Cricetulus griseus: one gene and its partner. The protein of the gene in region 1 interacts with the protein of each later gene in a biochemical or structural test. Links are inferred from orthologs where the notes say so. Each region holds a gene or a part of one and is shown on either strand. Other genes may lie near its edges.

Region 1 (3,806 bases):
CTCTCTTAAAAAATGAAATAAAAGTTATTGCTGGTTACATTAATATCCTTTAAAAAAAAGGGGGGGCTGGAGAAATGGCTCAGCGGTTAAGAGCACTGGCTGTTCTTCCAGAGGACCCGGGTTCAATTCCCAGCACCCACATGGCAGCTCATAACTGTCTATAACTCCAGTTCCAGGAGATCTAACACCTTCACATCAATGCACATAAAATAAATTTAAATAAACTAGTTTAAAAAAAAAAAGCTGGAAGCTGGAGTTAACCTAAGCTGTCTTCACTGTCGTGTATGGTCAATTTAAATATCCTAAGTTCCCTCAAAAAACAAGAGTAGCAACTTTGGTCTTTTCTGGGTCCATTGAGAACTAAAGGTCTTGAGAAATTGGCGAGATTCAGATGTCTTCCTCCACTGAATTGGAATGACTTAGTGGGACTGCCAAGTTCAAACTAGCATCTCACTTTACAGGGAGTGCTGCTGAGATCCTCTGGAAAGTAACTACCCCTTCCTGTAAGACAGTGGTTCTCAACTTCCTAATGCTGTCAACTTTATACAGTTCCTCATACTGTTGTTATCCCAACCATAAAATTATTTCATTGTTAATTCATAACTGTAATTCTGCTGTTAGGAATCGTAATATAAATATCTGTGTTTTCCGATGGTCTTAAGCAACCCCTGTGAAAGTCTCATTTGACTCTTTCATAGGGGTCATGACCCCTTCAACCTGCTCTAACCCTGCCACTTAGTAGTGTTTGGTGATGACATGTGGCCATACACATAAATTAAGATACAAGAAGTTGATTTTGTTTGTCTTCCTACACAGTTGGAATCTCAGGGAGTGCAGCAGCTTTCTGTTCCTGCTTGCTTCATCTTTTAATACATGAGATGGGTGTCTGGGATTGTCATTAACCATCATAGAATGGGAATGTAACATGCTCTTAACTGTGTGGCTTCTGTCTCATGCATGAGTCCTTATCGTCTGTTGTAGACACAGTGAGCTCTTCAGAGTCTCACATCCTTTATCGCATATATATATATATATATATATATATATATATATATATATATATATATATTGTTAGTATGTGTGTGGGGGGGTGATGGATAATCAGAAAACTATTGCCTTAAATTTGTCAGCTCTGGGAACTGTTTGCAATGACCTAAGTTTGGGTCCATAGACCCACACAAATATGTGGGTTTGCCCCTGTAGTCCCAGCACTAGGGGCAGAAACAGGCAGAACCTGGGGCTGGTGGAGCCCTGGAGACTGTCTCACAGCAACAATGTAGTGAGCAGTAGGAGATGACATCCAGTGTCAGCTTCTAGCCTCCACTTTGACACAGGGGAACTGTACACCCTTACAACACACAGTAACAACACAGCTGTGTTAGCTTAAATAGGTCTAGATTGCATTTAAAAAAAAAAATTGAAGTGATGGGAATTTTCCTCTATAAGTCTCATCATTTTAGGAGAATTTTAAATAGTTCTTTCCTCCTGTAGTAAGGCTTCTGATAAGTTTCCTAACACAGCATACAAAAGCATTGGTGTAGCAAAGGGGATTTAAATGGAGAATTAGGAAGAGAGAATGTAAGAATATAAGCCATGAATTCTTTCAAAGTCACGAGTTTCTCGGGACAGCCCTGAGGTTGGGCTACTCCTGGTGGTTCTCATGGAGAGTGGTAGCAGAGAGCCTCACCATCTTCCTTATCTAGGACAAATTCATCAGTCTCACAGTTGATTGGTACTTTTGGAGTAGACTGCTGCTGGAACTAAGAACTAAGAATGAGTATTTTGTTCTTTTCTGTTACAAATAGTTCTTTCAAGCAAAGACAGTCTTAAGGGAGAGTTTGGGTTTGTCCTGTTACTCATCCACACTTCCAAAGCAGTTCTGTCTGGACCTCTGAAAGGCATTCTCCCTGAGTTTTCACATTGGGGTTCAAGAGCTGACAGCATGTGTGCCTCTACCTTTCTAGAGTGAAGACTTGAAGATTGGAAATCATTTACACACAGTAGCTGTCTGATTTCAGTGTTTCATTGCTTTTGATAATTAAAATAACTATGCAAAGATTTAAGATGCAGTACACAGAACTCTACTGTGATGATCACTGACTGGAAAGTATTTCTGGAGAGTCTTGCTTTGACTTGATTTTTTTTTATTTATTTAATTTATTGGCTTGATTTTTGAGACAGGGTCTTATCAGGCTTATCTGGAGCTCACTGTGTAACCCATCTGTCCTCAAACCTCAGCTTTCAGAGTGCTGGGATTACTGGCCTGCCCAGTCCGTGAGTCTTTAGTGGTAGAAGCAGCAGCCATTCCTGGACTCCTCGGAATGAAGTGGAGGTGAATGTTCATGGTTCCCTTTGCGTGAGGCCCAGGAGAACCTTCAAGTGAGCTTTCAGAGCTTATCCTATTAAGCCTCTGGAGTTGGGGCTGCACTTTGATTCATTTCTCACTCCCACCACATTACCTCTCCCTCATTACTGCTTTTCCAGCCTTTAGCGAAACTGAGAATTCAAACAGTTTTGATAACTTGACTGTTTTCTTGGATTCAGCTTGTTTTGGTGATAAATGCCTTATCTATTGAGATTTTCCAGATTCTAGATAATTTCCATTATTTTTGAATATCTATCTTGGCACTTAAAAAAATATCAGATATCTGAAGAGCATAAGACTTACATTCTTGGAGCTGCAGAGATGACTCAGTGGTTAAGAACACATACTGCTACTACAAAGGGTCGGAGTTTAGTTCCTAGCACCCATGTGGCAGCTCTTAATCACCTGGAACTCGAGTTCCCAGGGGTCTGACATCCCACCTTCTGCAGCATATGCACACAACCTACACACACACACACAGTGGGGGGGGGGCATGTAAAAAGACTTTTTAATCTCTGCTCTTGGGAGGTAGAGGCAAGAGGATCTCTGAGTTCAAGACCAGCTAGCACTGCATAGAATAGAATGACCCTGTCTAGGGGGAGGGGAGAGGACTGACTTTCCTAAGTCTGTCTTGTCTCCCCTCTTGCTAAGTAGGAGGACAGTTCCAGTGACCAGTGAATGTCTTAGTGAAGCCACTTGTGTCTTACACTGTTTCATTGTTGGTGTTTTATTTCATTCTAGGTCCAGGGACAGCCATTAATGGTACAAGTCAGTGGAGGCCAGCTAATTACATCAACTGGCCAACCCATCATGGTCCAGGCTGTGCCAGGTGGACAAGGCCAAACTATTATGCAGGTACCTGTGTCTGGAACACAAGGCTTACAGCAGGTAAGTAGTATTTTTAAGTATTTAGATTGTACATCAGCAAAGTTTGGTATGATTTTGAGTTAAGTAGTACTCAAAGGTCCTTAAGAAAACTTAGGCAGTGTTTAGCCTAACCAAAAGATCCAAGGATGTCTCTAAGACTTGGGGCCATGTCCTGATTCCCTCTACCAGGAGTCAGTCAACCGGAGAGCTTCGGGAACTTGAGGCTCTAGGCATGTCCTTTACAAACTCAGTGGGTAGAAGGTAGCTTGGAGAATCCCCCCAAGCTGAAAGTAACCTCCTAGCTGATAGATCAGCAAAGCAAGGCTTGAGAGGGTCAAGGAAGAGTGACAGACCATTACAAAGCTGGTGAGAAGGGACATGGAGATCTACAGGTGGGCCAGGGATAATGACTTTGTTTATGTGGCTGGGCTTCCTGGGTTTTTTAGGTTGGGGGTATTCTTGAGTATAAAGTACTAGAAATTTTGCATTGTAGGGCCTTCCTAAATGCTTTCTCATTGGATCTTAAGAGGTTTGTATTCAGTGGTAAAGGAAATAGGTTCCTGCACATTGAGCA
Region 2 (4,248 bases), on another chromosome or scaffold:
CACTCTGTTCTGGCCTCCAAGGGCACTGCACACCATGGTGCACTGCACAAGCAGGCAGAACACCCAAAGGCAAGGACAGTAATTTTTAAAGCATGCATGACAATAAAAAGAAAACACTTCATCACGTCAGCTTTCCATCTGAATGTGGAGTAAACAAAACAGAAAACTTCAGAACAAGCTCCACACCTGCGCGATGAACTATTTTAGTAAAAAGCCAAGCTCTGCTGCTTTTCAGCACAGAGAAGACTGGTGAAAGGTGGGACCAGGGTGGCGTCCTGCACGTCCTACCGTCCAGCCCAGTGTAAAGCAAGCTTGGCGGTGAGGGAGCGAAACCACCGATGAGCATCTTCCGCGCAGACACATTTGTGTTTTCGGCCTTAGCATATTTTCAAACCATCTGGCATCTGCGCCTCTCTGCTTTGCCAGACTAATCTGTTCAGAACTGGGTAGAACACCAGAGCCGTGTGCATTGTGGGGAAACCAAGGAACAGCACATACTTAGACAAGTGTTCCAAGTTATACAGCTAGTTATACTTGACCTGTATCCTCAAAACATTTCCAACGAAAACAGTAAGCTCTGTTAAGAATACAAGCACAGCTCGGGACATCTGTATGAATTATAACTGTCTAAGTTACCCAAGTCACTAGCGTGGTTTTTTTCCCCCCTCATTTTAATCTAAGCAGTCAAATATCAAAGGTAACTGTACAAAAAAATCACTGATAAATGAAATACTGTAACACATACACACACACACACACACACACACACACACACACACACACCACGTCTTTTTCCTTATATGCCCTGTTACCAAACTTGTGTTATTGGCAGCACTTAACCTTTCCTCACTAAATCTGGAGTCAGAATCGCTTCTTTAGAAACTGAAATAATCTATGTGCCAATAGCTCTATTGGAACAAACTTTCAGTTTAGTTTAAAATACTGACTTTTTCAGGGCATTAGTTACTACTGCACACAAATCACAGCTTTCTTTCAGACAGAGACAGAGATACAGTGACCAACACCTCAAACAAAAAGGTGCACTTATATCACTCTGCAACACACACACACACACACACACACACACACACACACACACAAACACACAAACACACACACACACACACACACACCCCTCACTCCTCCTGGGGGTAGAGGGAGGGGTTCTTATGGATTTTCAATTGCTATCCTGTTAACCTCTGAGAGCACTGCTTCTGCCAGTTACACAGACTCCCACCTAGTCATGTCACAAATTCTCAGCCAGCCTTTCTTACAAGTTTCTCCTATACAGTGTCCCTTCACGGTGTGGTTTGGGTTTTGTCTCTTAAACAAGGGCTGGCGGCAGAAAAGTGCCTTGGCATTCTACTCTAGCCATTCAGTTTCCCCAGGGGCTTGGTCCCCCTGCACTAAGGACAGCAAACAGAGTCCCTTTCGTCGGTCGTGCTCGTTCCTTGCTGGTCCCCTTGGACAAAGAATCCCAAGTCCCTTCTCTTGCAACTTCGGTGTCAGGGCTGGGCTTTCCTGCCTGTCAGACCCCAATTCTTTCATTCCCTCTTTGTAGCCATTCACCCGAGTCAAGGAATCAGCAGGTCGTTCCCTTTGAGCCCCAGGCATAGAGACTCCCCTGGGCCAGCACGCTCTCTCCCCAGCCATGGCTCCACAGAGAGACAGTGTGTCCCCCTCTTCCATTAACTTCTCCCCGACACCCAGGCATGGAGACTCCCCTGGGCCAGCACGCTCTCTCCCCAGCCATGGCTCCACAGAAGGCAGTGTGTCCCCCTCTCTTTTATTAACTTCTCCCTGACACCCAGGCATGGAGACTCCCCTGGGCCAGCACGCTCTCTCCCCAGCCATGGCTCCACAGAGAGACAGTGTGTCCCCCTCTTCCATTAACTTCTCCCTGACACCCAGGCATGGAGACCCCCCTGGGCCAGCACGCTCTCTCCCCAGCCATGGCTCCACGGAGAGACAGTGTGTCCCCCCCTCTTTTATTAACTTCTCCCCGACACCCAGGCATGGAGACTCCCCTGGGCCAGCACGCTGTCTCCTCAGCAGTGTGTCCCCCCTCTTTTATTAACTTCTCCCTGACACCCAGGCATGGAGACTCCCCAGGGCCAGCACGCTCTCTCCCCAGCCATGGCTCCACAGAAGACAGTGTGTCCCCCCCTCTTCCATTAACTTCTCCCTGACAACCCTGGTCTTCCTCACTCAGGGGTGCAACTCCGCGTCCCCCCTGCCGGCCGAGGCTCCCCGGGGCTCCAGCCCACGCGGAGACCCTCGCGGACTCTTCTGCGTCCCCGCCAGGTGGCCCCACGCCCGGGGCGGCCAGCGCTCGCCGCCTCCCTCAGGTCCCCAGGCGCAGTCAGGGGGGTCCTCCCCGGGCACGGGCTGCCACCGTCCCTCAGCGCCCCAACTCACTCAGCGCTCTCCCGCGCCCCGCGCTCGCCCTGCCATCCCCGACAGCTCCCGGGAGGCGCGAGTGCGCGGGGCAGGCCCGCCGGGTGCCTCCGGGTCCCACGCGGCTCGCACGGACGCCGTGGGCTGGGTCCCGGGGGAGCGGAGGGGAGGGGATGGAGGGGAGGGGAGGGGAGGGGAGGGGGAGGGGTGAGGTGCGGGGGGACGTCTGCCCCGGGGCTGTCCCCTCCGCCACGAGCTCCGGGGAGCTCGGCTCGCGCCGCTCGCCCGCCGCTCGCCCGCTCGCCGCAGCTACCTGCAGGGGCCGCCGCGCCTCAGCGCCTCGCCGCCGCCGCCACCGCCGCCGCCGCCGCCGCCATCTTGCATTTGAGAGCGACTGCACTTTTCAGGGAGTCAACTCTGACCCGTGAACCCTAACCCCGGAACCACTCGGACGGCCCTCACGCGGGGGGCCCACGGAGCCCCGCGGCCCGGCAGCAGCGACACGCGGAGCCAGGGTGCGAGGGGACGCCCTCGTCCCCCCACCCCCCACCCCCGAGCCTTCCGGGGCCGCGAGGAGGAGCCAGGCGAGGCGGGGCGAGCCGGCGCCCCACGCGAGGACTCCTCCGCTCCGCCGCGCCGCGCTCCGCTCCGCTCCGCCGGGACGAGACCCAGGCCGCTCCCCCCCAGGGTCCCCGCGCTGCGGGAGGCGCGCGCCGCCCCGCCCGCCCCGCCCCTGTCAGCGGAGCCCCGCCCCCTGTCAGGAGGAGCCACGCCTCTGTCCGCCCAAGCCCGCCCCGTCAGGGAAGCCCCGCCTTCCGGCGGCGCGAGGCCCCGCCCCTCTCAGGCCCATTGCTCCGCCCACCGCCGCCGCGGCGCGGAGCCGGCTCCCGCCTCCCACCGCGACCTCTAGTCACGTTCTTCTTCCACGGAGGCCCCGCCCTCCCTGGACCCTGACTCCGAGGCCCCGCCCCCTCTCTGGACCGTGACTCCGAGGCCCCGCTCCCACCGCCACGCCACGCCCACATCACCGTCCCTTCCTTCTCAGCCCCGCCTCCCGCCTCCCACCGCGACCTCTAGTCACTTTCTTCTTCCACGGAGGCCCCGCCCTCCCTGGACCCTGACTCCGAGGTCCCGCCCCCCAGCCACGCCACGCCCACCTCCCGTCCTCCCCTCTCAGCCCCGCCTCCGGCGGCCTCTAGTCACTTTCTTCTTCCACGGAGGCCCCGCCTCCCTGGACCCCGGGACTCGAAGGCCCCGCCCCCCTCCCTGGACCGTGACTCCAAGGTCCCGCCCCCACATCCACGCCACGCCCACCTCCCGTCCCTCCCCTCTCAGCCCCGCCTCCGGCGGCCCTCCCGGCTCCAGCCACGCCCCCTCCGGCTGTCAACAGTCCCGCGCGCCTGCCAGCGGCGGCTCCGCCCCTCCCGGCCCGAGCCGGCCCGAGCCGAGCCGAGCCCAGCCGAGCCCAGCCGGGCAGCGGCCGCCGCGGCTCCAGCTCTCTCCGGATGGACGGATGGGGAAAAGTTGAGCGTCCCCCTGCGAGCCACGCAGGGACGCTGAGCTCTCGTGGGCCCCAGCTGAGGTCCTCAGCGCCTTCCCCACCGCCTCTCCCCTCCCACGGTTAAAAGGATGGTGCAAACGAAGGCGAGAAGCAAGCACTCACCCCGAGGGTGCTCACGGCCCCGGACGCACCCCCATCCCAATCAGAGACCCTCTGTGCTTTGGTAGCAGGGTTCCTCCACCAAGCCGCACTACCCACTGCTAAAATCTGCAGCCTGCAATTGCTTGAAGGGGAGGCCCGGCTGCTGAAGTCGACGTGCACAATACTTTAATTGTATCCCAGATTCTAAA

The links.
Region 2: the proteins of Nfya (region 1) and Zhx1 form a complex in vitro, tested with the Homo sapiens proteins (2 studies listed by BioGRID). The link is inferred for Cricetulus griseus from reciprocal best matches to the Homo sapiens genes NFYA and ZHX1.

What each region holds. Positions count from the first base shown.
Region 1 is NW_023276806.1:254,894,617-254,898,422, forward strand, and holds part of Nfya (nuclear transcription factor Y subunit alpha), read left to right. Parts: intron 1-2,238; exon of another isoform or gene 2,239-2,379; intron 2,380-3,106; coding exon 3,107-3,253; intron 3,254-3,806. UniProt on the Homo sapiens protein: Component of the sequence-specific heterotrimeric transcription factor (NF-Y) which specifically recognizes a 5'-CCAAT-3' box motif found in the promoters of its target genes.
Region 2 is NC_048603.1:29,563,436-29,567,683, reverse strand, and holds the start of Zhx1 (zinc fingers and homeoboxes protein 1), read right to left. Parts: upstream 3,030-4,248; 5' UTR 2,711-3,029; intron 1-2,710. UniProt on the Homo sapiens protein: Acts as a transcriptional repressor. Increases DNMT3B-mediated repressive transcriptional activity when DNMT3B is tethered to DNA. May link molecule between DNMT3B and other co-repressor proteins.